Rhinolophus ferrumequinum: one gene and its partner. The protein of the gene in region 2 interacts with the protein of the main gene of each other region in a pairwise test. Links are inferred from orthologs where the notes say so. Each region holds a gene or a part of one and is shown on either strand. Other genes may lie near its edges. The genes, in order: PPCDC and FOXR1.

What was found.
Region 1: the proteins of FOXR1 (region 2) and PPCDC interact in binary tests that used the Homo sapiens proteins (3 or more experiments, as listed by UniProt). The two-hybrid records come from large-scale screens. The link is inferred for Rhinolophus ferrumequinum from reciprocal best matches to the Homo sapiens genes FOXR1 and PPCDC.

What each region holds. Positions count from the first base shown.
Region 1 is NC_046289.1:99,538,921-99,548,443, reverse strand, and holds the start of PPCDC (phosphopantothenoylcysteine decarboxylase), read right to left. Parts: upstream 3,977-9,523; 5' UTR 3,877-3,976; intron 28-3,876; 5' UTR 1-27. Other genes in the region: SCAMP5 (secretory carrier-associated membrane protein 5), read right to left, coding at 7,452-7,646, 7,912-8,029, 8,492-8,593. UniProt on the Homo sapiens protein: Catalyzes the decarboxylation of the cysteine moiety of 4-phosphopantothenoylcysteine to form 4'-phosphopantotheine and this reaction forms part of the biosynthesis of coenzyme A.
Region 2 is NC_046294.1:88,239,975-88,249,930, reverse strand, and holds the start of FOXR1 (forkhead box protein R1), read right to left. Parts: upstream 4,666-9,956; 5' UTR 4,584-4,665; coding exon 4,523-4,583; intron 1-4,522. Other genes in the region: UPK2 (uroplakin-2), read right to left, coding at 7,722-7,858, 8,281-8,351, 8,615-8,753, 8,918-9,049, 9,535-9,610. UniProt on the Homo sapiens protein: Transcription factor which acts as both an activator and a repressor.

The DNA of each region.
Region 1 (9,523 bases), on a different chromosome or scaffold from region 2:
TCCACAAAGCTCTTCAGGATTGCGGGTCTAAAAGCAGAACAAGGGGCCCCCACTTCATTCACACAACCAAAATATATTGAGCAGCCAGTGTTAGACCCTGGGTCTTAGCTGGGGCTCCTGACGGATCCGCAGTCCCAGGTCTGGGAGCACAGTTTGATAAGGTCAGACAGCCTCAGCACACACAGCCCAGTTACAATGCAGCGTGACCAGTGCTGTGAGGAAGGCCCATACCGGAGGCTGTGGCCGCCCGGGAGTGACTGTCTGAGGACGTCAGAGACCAAAAAAATGACATTCAGGTTGAGTCCTGAGAGACGAGTAAGTTTTCCAGAGAAAGAAGGAAATAACTTTGCAAGAAGGAGCAATCTTGCAAAGATGAACAAGCTAAAGGAGGGTAGCAGGTTGGGAAACAGAGTAGCTTGGTAGTGCGGCTGAAGTGTGATGGGGGGCGGGGGGTCAGGCTGCAAAGTCAGGTCAAGGGCAGCGTCAAGGGTGGTGAGGGCCACGGGGAACTTTCATTTTGGCAAGATGGTTTTTGGTGACCATGTGGAGGGGGCCCTGATGGTGGTGACATTGGAGGGGACAGGGTAAGAAGCTGCTCTAGTGGGCCAGGCTGACGACGGAAGGGAGTGGCAGGATGGGGTGGGTTCCAGGGATACCTGTGAGATGGAGCCCTAGGCAACAAGGGCGTCTGGGTGCTTTAGGGAGTGGAGAGGTTTGCCTCTGCCCCGTCCCTGTAGATCAGACTGGACACCACTCCACAAATCCACGCCCAGGAAGAGACAAGCATAAAGGGGAAGCTGGCCACCCTGGGGGACCCGCTGCTGGTTTATTCCTCTGGCAGCTGTTGCTGGAAGTGAGTGCCCGTGATCATCTGGCTGACGGACACTCTGCAGGCAGGGCCAGCAAAACCGACTCATTCTGATCACTGATTCCATTCGTTCATGTTTCCTCGCCTCTCCCTCTCCACTGCCCCACCACAGCCACCACCACCAGCAAGCTCCCTGAATGTGTGACCAGGTCTACTCGCCAACCGCCAGGCACCTGGTGGGTCCTGAACATCTGCTGAGTGAATAATAAATTGTACCCTCTGCAGCGGGGTGGGGCAGAAGACAGAAGCCAGCCTGGGAATCAGGAGCCCTGGGCCCTGCTCATGGATGTGCTCCTGACCTGGGGTGCGACCTTGGCCCAGGGTACTTCCGTCCCCGGACCTATCTCTTCATTTGAAAAATACAGAGGTAGAACCAGGTGATCTTTAAAGCTCCTACCAGCAGAGCCTTCTGTGTCAATGCAGAGACGGCAGTGCTAAATGCTCTCCACACTGGAGGGTCCCAGAAGATGTGCACAACCAGCAGGACAGGAGACGCCACGGCAGACCCTCAGGGGGACGTGCCCGAGTCACCCTGTGGCTGCCTCCACGGCTGCACACCCACAGGGGGGCCTCCTCTTCACTCCACAGGCCCCTGGGATCCCAAGGGCCTCTTTGCCCAGTATTTGCCTTCAAGACCCACAGGAGCTGAGGACTGTGTTTGGGTCCATGATCCCACTCCTACCTAGAAGGGTCTCCTAGAGGCCCAGACCCTTCTCAGAAGGGGTGAAGCACTGGCCAGCTCCCTTCAGCAAGACTCCCCCAAAGTTCCATTTGCCAGGGACCTCTGTACCAGGGCCCTGCTTGCCCAGAACAGAACTGTGTCTACTCGGGGACCTGGGGAGCCCTCTGGAGGGCTTATTGTCCAGTGTCTTCCAAGAACTAACCAGCAGGCTGATTAGCACTCACAGGTAATGGGAACACATTCCTGACTCTCCAGGAAAATGTACCTGCCAGGTCTCAAGCCTTGACTTTGTCCCACCCCAGCCAACTGGTGCTAGGACAAAGGGATTCCTGCAAAACCAGAAGCTGAATTTCATTTCCAGCCCCTGAAACTCTTCCACATTAAGCTGACCTCAATCCTCAGGAGCAGGTCACTGAAAGCAATCAGCAAAACTTGGGGCAGAAATCCACGCTGGTGACTTCAGCCAAGCCCCACAGTAGGTGGCATAGCCCCAGACTGACTCCTTAGCCTACTGGGCAATCTTTGCTAAGGACCAAGGCCTACCTGCCTTTATAGGAGGCGTGGGGATTGTTTGAGGAATAGTGAGTGGGTAACTTAACTGACATTTCAAAGCAAGGTCAAATGGATTCAATCTGACAATCCCATGGAAGGTGACAGCTGGCGGTTCTTTATGTTCATGCTTTAAAAAGATCAAATCCCTGAATAGTAAGCACTCTATCCAGTCCCTGTCAGAACGATCTACCTGCACAGCCAAGGCAGTTGTGGACAGCACCTCGCTTCCCTGGCCTCTGCTGGACACATAAGGCACTCCTGAGCAGCAGGAAGAGTTGGCAGGCAGAGAGGTCGCAGGGCTCAAGCCTGTGATTACTGAGCCTCAGACTCCCAGGGTGCCAGCCATCCAGGTAAGCCACAGACGGAAAAATGGCAGCTTCTCCGTCCTTTAGGAAGACAAGGCCAGACAGAGTGAAGAGCCTCAGCTTGTATAAAGCCTCGTGGTGTGTAAATGTCTGATGCGTTTAATTATGGCAGAATCACGTAAAGGTTTCAGGGATTCCTGCCAGTCACAATGAGGGCGGATGTGGGGCCAGGGCAGAACCAGAGCTAAGAAAGGACCAGACGGGGTGTGAGGCAGCCCAACACAGGAAAGATGAGGCGCGGAGGTGTAGGACAAAAGCAGAACCAGGCTCCGGGGTGGGGGGGGGGGGTGGGCAGGGATCCCGTGTACACTGAGCTCCATTCCTTTAGCCTAACGTCCAAGCCCCTCCCTACTGGGCCCAGGCTTCTACTCCGGCTCCTCTCTCACCAGTCAACACACTCAACTCTCTGCCCCAGGAATAATGACCCACTTGCACTCCCCAAAGTGTCACCCTGCTCCCAAACCCAAAGTCATTAACGGGAGTCCCATGGCCACAGGGGTACTTTAAAGCCCTTCCCCTAAGGAAAGGAAAGGAACTCTTTGGGGCTAGCTCAAGGCCTTGGCATTCTAAGACGCTCTTCTCTAAAACCAGAGGCAAGCATACTTGACTCTGCGTCACCTGTCCCCTTCCTCAAGGCCGCATGTTGCGGAGAGATACAGACAGAGAGACACATTCACACACGCCGGCTACTAGCCAGCGAGTGACTGCGCACTGCCACCTCTCAGCCACGGGCAAAGATGTGGACAACCCAGCTCCAAAGACACCACCATTTCCCCAACTTGGGACTCTCTCCTGCGCCTTATCTGGCGCCGGCCTCCAATATTTCAAAAAACAGCATGAAGTTTTTCTCTGACAAAATTTGGCCGCACTCTAATTTTTAAATGCCAGTAAGCATTTTTAGGCTGATCTAAGTGGATAATTGCAACATCCCAGGGCTCTTCTTTTTCTATATCACCAGCTTTTAAGAGATAGTTTGTACTTTGGGCAGTCCCTCTTCCTTTTTGGAAGCAGGCTCATGATTTTTTTATTTTTTAAGGCAAGTGGTAAGTATGGGGAACTGACAGGGCCATCTTTTGAACTAGATTAAACAGCAATGGACAATCGCCGAGCAGCACAGAGCGCGGATAGGGATGCAAGATACAAATCCACCTCAGGCTCGAGCCGGGAAGGGGTCCCTAAATGTTCCAGCCCCACGGTCACAGACAGGAAAGTGAAGGCCCCACAAGCTCCACAGCCCCTACACACACACACACACAGACACACACACACACACACACACACACACACACACACACACGAAAGTGAGGACACACACGCACAGCAGCAGGCCCACAGTCGCAAGCGAAGCTTCTCCGGCCTCCCACCCGCCCGCCGCGAGGACTGCCTCTGAGCCCCCTTTGACTCCTCACCCGAGTCAGGCGTGTCTGGGCACAGCCCCCAAATATCCCGGATGGCCCCTGCCTTTCGCGCTGATTCTGATTGGCACGCAATCTCACGAGAATATCTGGCAGACTACGTGATCGCGCAGCCTTCTGGGAGTTGTAGTCCATTTCTCTGCCTTCTGGTAGTTGTAGTCCGTTGGAGGCCTTCCGGTAGTTGTAGTCCGTTGGAGGGAATCCTGCCACTAACCCTGGCTCCTATTCTTGGTTTTTCAGATGCTTTCACCTGGGCTTCGCCTCCTCACCCCACACCCCCATCCTACACATACACACTGCTCATTGTTGGGGTACTTAATACTGAATATTTAGCGAGACTCTTCTATGTTTTAAGTGCAGTTTACAGAGAAGAATCAGATGCGTTTCTGCTCTAGGGACAAGCAGGGTCACAGAAAATTACAGAATAAGGTCCTCCATGAGGAAGTGGAGGGGCCTAAATACCTAGAGGCAGGGAAGGCCTCTCAGAGAAGGAGTCACTCAGGGTGAATCTCGAAGGCTGAGCAGGAGCTTAGATAGAGTGCCAGAATAGCAGTCCAAGTGGAGGGCAGGGCATTGGCAACAGGAATGCATCCGGGGGAAGCAGGTTGGGTACACTTCACTACCTTCTTCATCGTCCAGCACCGTGGGCTCCGGAACCCCCTGTTATTTCAGGCTGCTCGGTCAGCAGCCAGTCTCCATTGAGAGAGCTGAGTGGGGCCCTCTGCTCTGCCCCTGCCCTTGTCTGCAGGGACCATCTGGACCAAAGCATCCCTCACTCTCTAATTCAGCCTTCTGCTTCCTCCTCGTAGAACTCAGAACCTCTCCTTCTAACCGGTAGAAGGCTGCTGTGGCAATTTCAAGGCCTACTAAGGCTGCCTTAGAGAAAGAACCACACAGAGGCGACTTCTGGCCCCTGTGTGGTTCTACAGACCCACCCTACCTCCATGTCCCACAGCCCACAGTGAGGCTCCATCCACACAGACCCGTATGAAAACACATGACACTGCAGAATACATATGGCCAAATGTTCCCCTTTATTATGGTTCACTCAGTTACCATAGACAGACACACTGGCTCAGGCAGGTCAACTGCCAGATGGAGAATAGTCTGTCTCCTAGAAACAAGGAGGAGCAGTGGAGGAGCAGTGGGCACCAGCAGAGTACAAACGCAGCTCACTGGCTGGCTGCAGACCTGAGGATTCCCAGAACTGACCTGGGTTTCCCTCCACCCAAGACCATCCAGCAAACATGAATCTGTGCCCAGCCCCCACTTCTCATATTGGTTTCCTCCCCAGGAAAGTGTATGGTTGCCTGGAGACAGCATCTCAGGGCCTGGACAAGCTGGGCCACACACAAGTAGCAGGCCTCCCCAAGGGCAGCGTCAGGGCATAGCCATATAGGTCTGAGCCAGGAAAGAAGAAAGGCAGGTAGGGCAGGAAATCGACTGGAGGTGGCAACCAACAGGTCATGGATCCTGGGCTAGCAGCTGGACCACAGGCCTGGAACTACCAGAGACTAAGAGAAAAGGAGTCAGAGGTCTGGCGGGGGGGGGGGGGGGGGGGGGGGGAGTGGGGACGGGAAGTGGAGGAAGGGAGGGGAGAGAGGACAAGGGAGCAAGAGGCTAGACCAAGGGTCTCTTTTCAGGCACTAGGGGCGATGACAAATGCTTTCCAGAGAGAAAGTGGTAGAGGAGAGAGCCAATCAGTCTGACTCAAGCCAACGGGACCATTAGGAAGAGAACTTCCCAGAGGCCCCGGCTCCCCTTATAGGAAAATACAGTATTTGGAGCTTGACCAAGCTGGGTTCCAAGCTGGAGCCAGCCCACAATGGCCAAGCAGGGTTTGGTTTTTCAGGCCAAACACCCAGATAGGAGAAGGGAGGGTAGGAAGTGGGCAGCTGTTCCTTGAGTGCGACACTCCCCTCCCAACCTCAAAGAGCTGGGGCTTTACCAGCAACATTCTCACAAGGCTTGGAACAGAACAGACCTACTGGCCTGAAGTCACTGTCCTGGAAGGGAAAGGGATTCGGTCAGGCTGAAGAAGGCCGAGAACTAAAGCCAATAAGCAAAAGGGAACAAGTTATTTTGATTTTTTTAAAAAACAAAAGCCAGAGAGCCTTCCTTCCCACCGCACCTAACCTGAAAGCCCACTCCAGCCATTGTGCCTGCAGATAGGATTGGGCCTCTGCCTCTTCTTGGGCCCTGAGTTCAAGTGCCCAGAACTGCCCTGTGACGAAGAGCTAGCTGGCATGGGGGAGGCATGCTCCCCTCTCACTGAGTTCTGCCTGCCTTCTCCTCTGATCTTCCCTCCAGGCCCAGCACTCTGAGCCTGTCCCTTCTACCAGACCCACACAGAACAGCTACTGCTGCCAGGAATCCGATGGTCGGTCACTCCGGGACACCCAATACCTCCCAGGGGGCTTGAACCAGCCAGACCTCACACAGGTACCAATAATTATTTACACGTCCTCTGCTCCAGCTGCGCCTTTGCATGGAAATTGCCTGGATACCACCCAGCTCTTCAGGGAAGGCAGTGGAATCCGCCTTGGTAGATGGAAGATGCCTCTGGCATGTGATGGAGGTAGGACAAGAGAATCAGGCCATAGCAGCTGGGGGTTTGGGGAGGGACACAGGCAGAGGGGCTTGAGGGGGGTGCTAGGAAGAGAAGGAGGGGAAGCAGGGAAAAGAGGAGCCTGCCCCTACAGGCCAAGCTCTGGGAGTCCAGGAGATGACCCTGCATTGCCATTCCTTAGGAGTCAGGTGCCGTGGGGGGGTCTGCACCTGTGTGCCCTCCCACATCAGGGCTAAAGCTCAGCTCCCGTCTGCTTCCTTGATCTGGGAAAGGGCTCAGTCTCAGGAGCAGATACAAATTCATTCAGCCTTGGGGAAGACAGAAAGCCATATGGGGAAGAGAGAGACCTTGGGCAAGAGAAGAGACCACAGGGAATGTGACAGCAAGAAGGGACGAGAGGAAGAAGAGGTTGAGGGGGAGGATCCCAGATCAGAAGGAGGAAGAGAAGGCCCCTGCCTGTTCTCACCCTCCCACCCACCACCCCCATAAGTGCTAAATACTGTTGCTTCCCAGTAAGACCAAAAGCGGAAACAGCTTCAGCTCATAACCCTGGGGAGAGGGCCAGGCTCTCTCTGCTATGCCTCCTCCTGCCCCATGAAGGGTCCTTGGGCAAAGTCAGAGGGCGTGGCCTGGGGGAGGGTGGGGGCTGGTTTAGTTCTAAACAGACATCTAGCACCACGACAACAGAGACCTCCACGTCACACTATTTCACAAGGGGACATGGACACAGCTACCGCCGCAAGGGACAGCTCCACATGTAGCCCGCAGCTTTCCAAATGCTCAGAGCAAAATCCAAGAGGGTGGGGGGTAGACATATACATACATACATATATATATATATATATATATATATATATATATATATAACTCTGATTCTTTATACAAAGTGGAGGAAGAGAAAAGGGAAGGGGGAACCCTGCTTGGTCACCACAACAGATGATGTGGCTTGAGCCCCCGTCCCACCAGCCCGCAGCCCCGCCTCACAGCAGGCTCGGCTGGCTCACATCTCGTTGGAGTATGCATAGCTGGGGGTGGCGGAATACTGAGTCTGCGGCTGATTCACAGCCCCCTGGGCCGCCCCCATGGCTGCATTCTGGGCTGCTTGCTGCACATGCGGGTTCCTCCACGCCCCCGTGGTCCACTCCTCCTGAGCTTTGCTGAAACTCCCCCCACTGCCCCGGTAGAATTTATGAACCTGTGGGAGGAGGAGCACAAGAAAGGGTTAATCAAAAGGAAGAGGCAGGCCATCCAGGAAAGACATGGGAGCCACAGACAACTCGCTGTAACAGCCAGTCCTGCGTCCCACCCATGCTCAGTGCATCAGGAACAAAGTCCACCAAGCCATTCCACAGTGAGCCCCTGGGAAGACTCCTGGGTCCTCCTGTCATTTGGAAGAGGGCTTGCCACAGACCACAGTCCCTTCCCAAAGCCAACTTCTCACCATTGAGGTGACCACGTACCATGCTGAGGGCGATGAAGGAAAAGACAGCCATGACCGTGAACATGATGGTAGGAATGAGCATTACCACTGCTGAGCCAACGTTCGTCCCGAAGAAGGAGATGGTGGCAATCCAGCCGCTGCAGGAAGAGGCCAACTGTGAGGCTGCCCAGCATGGTGAGGGCTACCTAGGAGCCACCCACTAGACACTAGAGCAAGGGACCATCTCATTGTCACAGGGAGGGACCATATCACTAGATGCAAAGGGACCACCTTACTAATCCCAAAGAGCCTGTGTCAGGGATTCAGGAAGAACCCTCCCCATGGCTCAGGAGACAAGCTCCTCAGACATAAGGTTTCCTTCCCTTGGGTTGTCCCACAATGCCTGACACCCCTCAGCCCTCAAAAACCACTGCAAGGTTCTCCTTCCCCTCTGATGCTATGGCTGTGTCTACTACACTAGTCTGAATCCTCTCACACTTCCAATAATTCACGGTTTCCCCACAGGCTAGGCAGCTTAGCACACAGAGGTAAGCAAAGGACACACCCAAGATGCCACCCATGCCAGCCCTGGGTCAGTCCCAGATACCTCAGTCTCTTACCAGATGCCCCAGCCTGGGATACCCACGGCCTGGATAATGCTGATGACCAGCTGGGCCATGAAGGTGAAGAAGAATGCCATGAAGCTGAAGGAGCTGTCAGTCCTGCAACAGAGGAGATGGCTCCTGTTACCAGGGCAAAGAGCCAGTGATTCCCTGCCTTCGAGGCCCCCACGCCCTTCCAAGGTGAAGTGAGTACACAAAGGACAGAAGGCATTCAAAGGCCTTAACTGAGAGGCCAAAATGGGACAGCACTGACCCATAGATCTTGGCAGGATACCAGGTGTTAGGCGTGTATGTGCAACATTACATAGGGAGACATCTGCTCATGAGTGGATTACCCACCGACACGTGGGTGTTTGGGCCCCACTGGCCCACAAACAGACGGGCCCATTGTGGCAGGAATAAACAGCCCGCTGTCAAGGGGGTGAACAATTCCACCGGCACCAAGACAGCTAGGTCCACTGGTACATGGTGGATGGTCCCATAAGCTTAGAGATAGAAAGTCCCATTGGCACTAGAATGCACACGCTATTGGCACCAAGAAAGTAGCCTAATTGGCACATAGGTGGATGGTCCGATTGGCAAAGACATCTGAGGCACTCTGGATACTCCACTGGCATTGAGACAGATATCCTTGTTGGTACACGGATGCTAGTCCGACTGGCAAAAGACTGAAAATTCCATTTGATACAAAATAGACACCCATTGGCACCAAGACACATGGATGGGAGTCCCTTTGGCACAGAATTGGCCGACCTCATCAGCACATAAATAGTATCAGTGGTATATGGGTAGCTGGTTCCATATGGATAGACGGTCCACTTGGCAACAAATCAACTAGTCCCATGGGTACAAGGACAGCTCCACGAAGACACGGGGCCCCACTGGCAAAATTTTACGTGCAGCTGCCTGGGGAAGACAGAACCAAAACAGACCTGTTGCCCCACCCAAGGGGGTAGAGTGAGGAAGGAAGGCACTGAAAGGAAAGGCTCTTACTCCCAGCCCTCTCAGCCCAGCGTAGCACTCCCAGGG
Region 2 (9,956 bases):
AGTCCAGGGAATTTGCTGGATATAAGAACAATACACTAATCAATACTGTTCCTCTATGCCAGCGTTAAGAAACTGGAAAAAAGTATATATACACATATATGTAAAAGAATTTTTTAAAAGGTACTGTTCACTATAGCAACCAAAGTTATAAAGTATCTAGGGATTACTCCATCAAAGAATGGAGTAAGAATGAAGACATTTATAGGAAAAAGGTGCAATCACTATTTAAGGACATAAAAGACCTGAATAAACAAAAACATATAATACATATTAAAAGGTGCCAATTAATCTCAAAGTAATCTGTACATTTTACGCAGGTATTATAATACATAAAATTAAAAGGTTCTGCATAGTAAAAATCACAAGGAAAAAAATCAAATCAAATAAATTAGAAAAAAATATTCAATTCATAGACAGCTTCTACAACTCAATAAGTGAAAAAGCTAACACAAACCTACAATGGGCAAAAGGTACAAATCAGTGTTCAGAGGAGGGGATACCTAAATGACTAAAGATGCTTAGCCTTCCTAGTAATAAGAAAATAAAAGAAAGAGATAACACTTTACATCAAACTGACAAGAATTATAAAAACAGATAATACCAACTGTTGGCAAAGGTGCAGAAAAATAGAATCCTTTATTACACTGCAGACCTGATAGCAACTGGTGTTGCCATTGTGAAGAATAATCAGGGAGGACTATAATGTATTATACTGTCTACTCCTGGGTATGTATATTCAAGTTAATATAGGAATTTACGTACTAATCTTACTGTCATCTATCAAACTCTCGGTCACTCTCCCTCATTCAGAGGCTCACTGGCTCACTGTTACTAAAACTTCGCCTGCCTTAAGTCTTGGCTATTTCAATAGATAGATGATTCTCTTAATAAACTGGCTTCTTAAACTCTTCTACGAAGATTTTGCCTTGCATTCTACTTTAGACGGTCTCTGTCACTGTCATAACCTGAACGAATAACTGCAACCTCTCCAAAACCTCACTTTTGTACCACATAAAAATATATCACCTCCTATTTTTCCAGCTATCTCACTCTCAACTCCAACTATCCTTTGATACAACTGATATCACTAATCCATTGATCTATGGGTTTGGAGCACTTGTTTGGTAGACTTGGATTTGATCAGGGTTGTGGCTTGGCCCAGCAAGTGCTCCAAAGCCATACAGGGCCAAAGGAATTGAAAGGGTGTATGCAAGAGAGCGAGCATGTTTGACCATGGGATTACAGGTTAAAGAAGAGTGATGGGCAGCAGTAAAAGGGTGACAGGACCAACAGATTGCTGATCTCAGTGGGATCAAAGGATACAATGCCTGTCTGTCTGCCTGTCAGTCTGACTGTCTTCCTCCCTCCCTCTCTCTGGCACAGATATCCTCATGCCTTCTGAAGGACAATGTTCCAACAATCCTCTCTTCTCTTTCCTATTATTAATTTTTTTTGGTCTCTATTGGATCATTATCATCAGCATTTAAATATGCTGTAAATTCTCTCATCATATGAAAAACAATAACTTCTCTGGTCCTCACGTTCTGTGCCAGGCCACTATTCCTCATTTTTGCTTTCTTTTGAGGCAGAACTCCTTAAAAGAACTGCCTATACTTTCTGTCTCTACTTCCCCTCCTTCCACTCTTAAACCCTTGCCAATCAGGCTTTCTCCACTATTCCACCAAAACCACATCATCAAGGCTCTGCTTTGCAAAGTCCAATTGTCAACCAACCTCTTACCAGATCTCTCAGCTGCATTCCTCCCAAATGACCACTCCTTCCTTGAGACACTTTCTTCACTTGGTTTCCACAAGAACACAATGTCAGTTTTGATTCTCAGTGATCATTTCCTTAGTTTTTGGTTATCTCTCTTCTCTCCAATCTCTTGGAAGGCCCCCCAGAGATCATTTTTATTCCTTCTCTCTCTCACTACTTAAATGCACCTCTATACCAAAGACTCTCAAAATTTATATCTGCAGTCCACACCTCTCTCCAGAACTCCAGACTTATATATTCCCTTGTTTACTCAACATTTCTAATTGGATATCTAAAAAGTATTTCAAACTCATTATGCCCAGAACTGAATTCCTGATTTTCTTCCAGAAACCTCTCCTACCAGAAGCTTCCTCCATCTCAGTAGAAGGCAACTCAATCCTTCCACTTAATCAGCCAAAAACTTAGAAGTCATCCTCTAATTTTTCTTATACCACACATCCTATCTATCAGCAAATCTAGCTGGTTCTACCTTCTCACCACATACTGCTGGTGGTCAGTCTAGCACCATCTCTTGTCTGGATTACTATAGAAAACTCCTAACCAGTCTCCTGACTTCTAGGCTCCTAGTTTCTTTATATCTCCAATGCACCCTCAACACAGCAGCCACAGTGATCTTTTCAGAATATAAATCATGCAGGGTTGACTACATAATTTGCCCAGTGCAAAATAAAAATGTGGAGCTCCTTGTTCAAAAATTATTAAAAATCTCAAGATAGTGACAGCAGAGCATTAAACCAAGTATAGCTACCCTATGCAACTGTGCAGGTCACATACTCATGAAGCTGGCGATTGTGCCTCTCCTCTACTCAAGACCTTTCAATCATGCCACGTCTTACTCAAAGTCAAGGCCGATGTCCTTAAAGTAGAAGGTAGCTCTTCCTGATCTCTGCTGCACACCCTGTGAGCACTCCTCTTTATTTACCTTGATCCAGCCTCACTGGTCTCCTTACTGTTCCTCAATGGCTCCAAGCATACTCCTTCCTTAGGGCTTTTGCACTGGCTGTTTCTGCTGCCTGGGGAGCTTTTCTTCCAAATATCCTCTTGGCTCACCATGTCACCTCTTTTAACTCACTACTCAAAATATTATGTTCTCAATGAAGCCCAACCTAATGACCCTGTTTAAAAATGTAGCTGCCACCACTTTCCCTGCTTCCCCCCCTCCATTCCTGAACCCTCATACTGTGTCCTTCTTTCCCCACGTCAGTTATCACCTTATAACATACTAGTATGTAACATTTTTGTGTGGATTGCCTGTCTGTCCCCAGGAGAATGTAAGCTTCATGAAGACTTGTCTCCTTTTGTTTTGTTCATTATGTATCACAAGTGTCTAGAACAGTGCCTGGCAAATTGGAGGTGCTCAATAAATATTTCGCAAACCAGTGAAGAAACAGGAATGTTCCTCAGCATTACTTCGGTGTCAGAGTTGGAGGCAATCTAGGTCTCCATTAGTACAGAGAATTAAATGCAAAAGGCTGAGCATATGCATGCGAGATGGATGGACCTAGAGGGTATTTTGCTGACTGAAATCAGACAGAGAGACAGATACTATAAGGATCTCACTTATGTGTGGAATCTAAAAAACAAACTAAATAAACAAAGTCATAGATACAGAGAACAAACTGATGGTTAACAAATGGGAAGGGGGTTGGGGGTAGTGGCGGTGAAAAAGATGAAAGGATTAAGCACAAACTGGTAGTTACAAAATAGTCACGGGGATATAAAAAGCACAGCGTTAGGAATAGAGTCAATAATATTGTAATAACTATGTATATTGCCAAGTGAATACTAGACTTATTGGGGGATCACTTCCTAAATTATGTAATTGTCTAACCACTATGTGGAACACTTGAAGTAATATAATATTGAATAGCAACTATAATTGAAAAATAAAAAAATAAAAAAGGTAGCATATGCAGATGATAGACTTCTACACAACAGTCAAAAATGATGAACCAGATCTATATTTAGCAACCTAAATCCCTCTCAAAAACAATGAGTAGGGGTTAAAAAGCAATGAGCATTATGTAAATTAGTCACAAAATAATACTAAACAGTTTTCAAAGATACAGCTCTCTAAAGAGGATAAATAGGGTAGAGTAAATACATGGGAGTGTGGGAGGTGATAGAAGTGGGTGGAAAGGGGGAAAATGAATTAATCTAAGTACTTTGTCGAACAGATGACATAACCTACCAAGCATGTAGGAGGTGATTACATCAACTCTCCGCACTTGAACTGAAATTTTTTTTTTAAATGACCCCGACAGCCAGCTACCCATTCAGCAAATAGTGAACACCTCTGGGTGTCAGACGTATCAAGAGGCGGGGATACAGCTGCGAACACAACTGATAAATTGCAGTTTTTTTAAAAACAGAAAAATGAGTAAAATATGTAGTGCGCCAAATGGCGACAGGCGCCATGGAGAAAAGGCCGCGAAGAGGCCTAGAAGGTTCTGGGAAGGAGCTGGGCGGGTCGGGTATAGTTGAAAACGTCGTGTCCAGCAGGACCGCTGCCCTCCGTGGGCTTGCAGTCGGGGCGGCCCGATCGCTGCTGGGCAAGTGGCGTGGGGGAGGGGGCCGCGGCACTCAGCAGGGAGCACGCGGGCCCGACACTGTGCCCTCGCCGGGGCTCGCCCCAGGCGGGGTGCGAGGTCGAAAGCTGGGGAGCCCACTCGCCCCGGTCCCACGAGACCCCCACCCGGGCCACCCAGCACGCCCATCCCCCACCGCCCCCCTCTTGGGCACTCACGGTTCTGCTGAGTTAAGGGCAGGTGCGTTGTCGTGAAGGCCAGAAAACACTCGTTCCCCATGTCCCAGTCCAGCAACCCTGGGACCTGGCCATGGAGGCTGGCCCAGAAGTCAAGGTGTTGGAGTTTCAGGTCCACCTTCAGGGAGAGGAGAGAGAGCCGGGCAGGGGGTGGGAGAGTCGGACAGACTGAGGCCGAGGTCTCTGAGCTACTTGCTCAAATACCCAGGCTCTGATTGAGTTAGTTTTGCCGGCTCTGATGGAGTTAGCGTTGACGCCTTTAATCCCCTCTGGCCTCAACTGAGTACTTTCTGCCACGTCTTTCCTCAAACCTCTATGCTTTCGAATTGGGCCTGGGGACACTTGGGGACTCAGAAGAGAGCTATTCCAGGTCCTGTTCCCCTACTACATTTGCACAAAGCTCTTATTTTATTTAATGAATTCGTCTACCGGTTCAGAATGATCCCGTGATAGTATTAACTTTCTAGAAGTTCTGATTGATTTTATGGCTTACCCAAGATCGCATCTGTAGTACATTGTGGAGATAGGATTAAATGGTGGTTTCTTAAATTTTATTTTTAATAATTTGAAATTTACAGAAAAATCCTAAGAATACTATTAAAAAATTCCCATTTACCTAAATCTTGTAATTTACCAATTACACCAATTATTAACATTTTATTACGTTTTAATTTTCTTTCCATATACACATAAGACATATGTATACTATTATTTTTTCTGAACTGTTTAAGAGTAATTTGCAGACATCATGCCTCTTTACCCATAGATACTGCACCGTGTATTTCCTAAAAACAAGGAGATTGGCGTACATAACCAGGAAATCAGAAATAAACTGATCAAAATCAGATTATTTAACATTAATTCAACATTATATTTAATGTACAGATCCTATTCAAATTTTACCAATTGTCCCAATAATATTCTTTATATGAATTTGTTTTCTGGTCTAGGATCCAACTCAGGATTATGCAGTACATTTAATTTTCATGTTTCTTTAGTCTCCTTTAATCTGGAGCACTTTCTCAGCCTTTTTAATCTTTTGTAATACTGATATTTTTAACGATTACAGGCCATTTATTCTGTTTGATGTTTCCTCATAATTAGACTTAGGCATTTTTGACAGGAATACCACAGAGGTGATGTTGCCTTCTTAGCACATCATATCAGGAGGCACATTATGTTAGTTTGTCCCATTATTAGTGGTGCTAATTTCAATCACTTGGTTCAATGGCCTCCACCAGGTTTTTCTACTGTAAAATGATTTCCCTCACCCTTTGTAATTGGAAAGTAATTTGTGGGGAGATACTTTGATCTAAAATCCTGTTCCTCACCAAATTTGGGCCCACTAATTCTGGCATCCATTTATGATTCTTACTTTGATGGGTGTAAATTGATCTTTTTTCTAACTCCGTCGTTCCTTTTCCATTTATTTAGCTGGCATTCTATTGTAAGGAAGAGCTTTTCCCTATCCCATATCTATATGTTTATTAGTATGGATTCAAAGGATTCTTATTTTATTGAGTGGATTATAAGTCATTACTATCATTATTTATTTTAAACCTTTGTCCCAGATTTGGCTAGTGGGTGAGCTAGCTCCCTCTGGTTCTTTTGCTCATCCTGGGTTCCCCAGTAGAGCCCATGCTGTGTTGTCTGTTGCTTGTCTACCAGAGCAGAAACTGTGAGAGTACAAGGCACAGAGGAGACCCTCAATAAATGTTTTAACTACAGTGAAAATAACAGCTTCCTTTTTAAAGTTTGTTAGGATTCTACCTTTAATACTACTAATAATAATTTTAATGATAATACTATTTCTCTAACTATAAAAATACCTATGTTTGATGCAGAAAACTTGGAAGTATAGAATGCACAAAGGGAAAAACAATAAAACAAAAATTATCCTTTGTGTTAATCAGAGATAATTGATTAAAAATTTTTTTTTGAAGGGGAACAGGACTTTATTGGGGAACAGTGTGTATTTCCAGGTCCTTTTTTCCAAGTCAAGTTGTTGTCCTTTCAACCTTAGTTGTGGAGGTTGAACCTTAGTTGTGGAGCAGCTCAGCTCCAGATCCAGTTGCCCTAGTTGCAGGGGGCACAGCCCACCGTCCCTTACGGGAGTCGAACCGGCAATCTTGTGGTTGAGAGGACGCGCTCCAACCAACTGAGCCATCTGGCCACCCAGGAGCGCAGCTCGCTGGCCCATGTGGGAATCCAACCGGCAGGCAGCCCCGTTGCCCAGAGCTCGCTCTCTAACCAACTGAGCCACCCATCTGCCCCATAGTCTTTATTTTAAGAGCAATGCAAAGATTACTAATCCTTATAAGGAATGCATATTGGAGAGGACAAAAGGAATAAGGGTGACGACTCCTGCTCTTTTCCCTCGGTTACCAAACTGTACCACTCTTGTCTCTATTCCCAGGGTTCTTCCACTTCTGCTCTCTGCTCTTAAAGCCCCTTTAGCCTAGTCTCCATTCCCCACAGGCCTCAATAACCTGTCTTTTGGTCTCACCCTGGTGGCCCTCTGTCTTTCCCATCAGAGACTCATCTTTTCGCCAGCATTTCTTCTTGTTCTGCCAGCAGCCCCCCACCCAAAGGCCCTCAGGCCTCTAGCTCCCTCCCCCACGATGGTGCTCCGTCTCCTAGTTGGGTGACCTGCTATGGAGGGTGCAAAATTCACAGCCTAGATGTGGGTCTGAGAACTCTGACTCCTGAGTTCTTATCTCATCTGGCCCCTTCCTGCCTCCTGGGGCCATGGGAGCACCTGCAGCCTAGACATGGATTCTATAGGTTTGTGCCAAAGTGGAGCCCACAGAAAGGAAACACACACCACAGAGGTGACATCCAACTTTATTGTATGGGTTTAGTTCACTGAGGAGGGGTGAATTGTTGGGCGTAATTAAAGAGGTGAGATGGAAGGAAAACTAATTCTGACAGGGGTGGGGTGAAAGGAATAATAGGAAGAGTTGGGCGAAGGTGAGTAATTAGGGGACAAGGGGCAGGGGGAGTAAAAGGAATAGAGGTAAAGGCACTGAAGTGCAGGCACAGCCAAAGACTGGTGATTGAGGACTGGGAGCAGGCAGTCTGTTCAGGAGACGAGGCAGGAGCAAGCGGCAAAGCTCTGGGCTGGAGAGATGGACAGCGCCCTGGACCTCCTGGAGGAGCCCACTGCCCCGTGCAGGCCTCCTCACTTCCTGGTACCCAGTGCCAGGGTGATGATGAAGCCCAGGACCAGCAGGAACATGGCGACAGAGAGCAGCACTGTGATGACCACCATGCCCCCTGTCCGGGCCATTCCCAGCCCAATGTATTCCATGTTCCTTCCTGTCAGAAGAGAGAGCGGAGTGGGCTTTGTGGGCAGGAGGAGCCCCTATCCTACATGAGGCACTCAACCTAGCCCCTCATCCAGCTATCTAGCTCGTATCCCTTCATCTATTTATTCATCCACCATCCAACTGATCAAGTGATTCAGACATCCATCAAATACACATTTATGAAGCATCTCCTACGTCACTCACTGAAGATACATAAATTGATCAGACACAATCCCTACCCACAAAGAATCTTTAGTTTAGCAGTGCAGGAAGATGAGTCAACAGGCAGTTAAAATGCCAAGGGCTCAATGTTACGATAGAGGAAAGCCAAGGAGCTAAGGGAGCATACTGAGGGGCAACTGGGGTGCGGCGGGAAGGGGACAGGGAAGATTTGGGGGCCTTGATATGTGAGAGGGAGCACGTGTTACTTACGAGGAAGTGTGGACATTGGGATCTCTCTGCTGGACTCAGTGGATGTCCCCTTCATCACTAGGTAAGAAATGCTTTTGTAATGGGGTTTGGAAGAGAGAGAGGAGAGAATCCTCAGTGAGTATCTGGGACTTGGGGAAAGAGGGAGACCAGGCCTCCCTCTTCACAGTTGTGCTTCCCATTGTGCCCTCCTTTAGGAGAGGCCCATTCTTGACCCTTTTAGCTGTGCCCTCACCCTCTCCCCCATGCTGACCACATCCCCCCCCACCACCACCACCAAATGTCAGGACCCAACTTCTCCTCCTGCAGTTGTTCCAGGCCTGGATCTGGTACCTACTAGTATTTGGTTCCTGGCACGAGGTTTGTCACCAGGTAAGCACTGAGCCGGGTGACAGTGAAACCAGCCCCAGTGTCCACCACATTCACCAGTTCCCTTCGCCCACGGCATGGAGGCACCATGAAGCTAGATTTCACCACTGGGCAGGAAATTGGGGATGAAAAGCAGGGTCAAGTTTCTGGAGGCCCCAAGGAGAAGGGGTAGCATTTAGAGTGTGGGTGCAGGAAGGCACGCGTGGGAGAAGGGACGTTGGGGATGAATTGGGAAAGGGCTAGGGGGATGCCCTGGGACAGGGTAGCAGACCTTTGCTGTCATTGGCTCTCCGCACCATCAGTGTGGCATTGCCCCCTGTGAGGTGACAGGGGGGCAAAGCAACTAGCAGGCTCTCCGTTAGCGCCGGGGACAGCAGACCAGAGAGGCTTGAGATGTTGAAGTCTGCTGGAGGGCCAGGAGGAAGTTACGTGCGTGTGTGGGGGAGAAATTCAATTCCTCTCCCCCACCTTCAGATCTGGCCCAGCTTCCACAGGCTTTTTTTAAGGATGCAGAATCCTCCCTCCACCTTCCACTCTGTAGTCTGTTGACAGAACACAGGCCTTTGTGCATCTGACCACCAGGTGGCAGGCTTGGGCTGCAGAAGCGTAATACTCTACCAAGTCTCCAAACTCTGGGTGCCAGGAGTGGGTTGTGCCCAACCTCATCCCTTCCCGCAGCCTTGGGCCCCTCCCTTCACCTCTCTGCCTTCTGGGTCTGGAAGAGAACCAGGAGTGTGCCCTTAGCTCAGTGACTGATGCCTGGTCACTGCCATCACCAGGCCCCCACCTCCAACTGTCCAGAAGAGCTCCTCTTTCACAGCCCTGGAATGCACAGTGCCTATCCAGGCCCCAGCCCCTCCCCACAACCCCGCCAGAAGTGGCAGAGACCTGCAGCTCCTGGGGCCAGAACAGCCAGCAGAATCAGGACAAAGGACGAGGTTCTGATGGGTAGTGGGGATGCCATAGCTGGGTTGGAAGCTGGAACAAGCGCTGGCAGGCTGTGGCTTCCTGAGGCAAATGAGGCCCTGCCTCTGGGGTGACTGGTTTTGTCCTGGGGGAGGGAGGGGCTAGAGGGGAATCTTGTCCGACCAGCCCCTCGGCCCTACAGCCTGCGGGGGGGGCTGGGGGGCAGACAGGTTTTTCAGGATGGGGAGCTAGCCCTCAGGCCAGGAGTAGGGATCTTGACTGGATCTTGGTGGCTTAGTCAGCTGCGGAGGGGCAGGGCAACTAAGGTGGGGGGGTGGAAATCACCCCTTCTTCTGGGACTTCTGGGACTCCCACCAGTGCTCTCCTGCCTGCACAAGCATGTG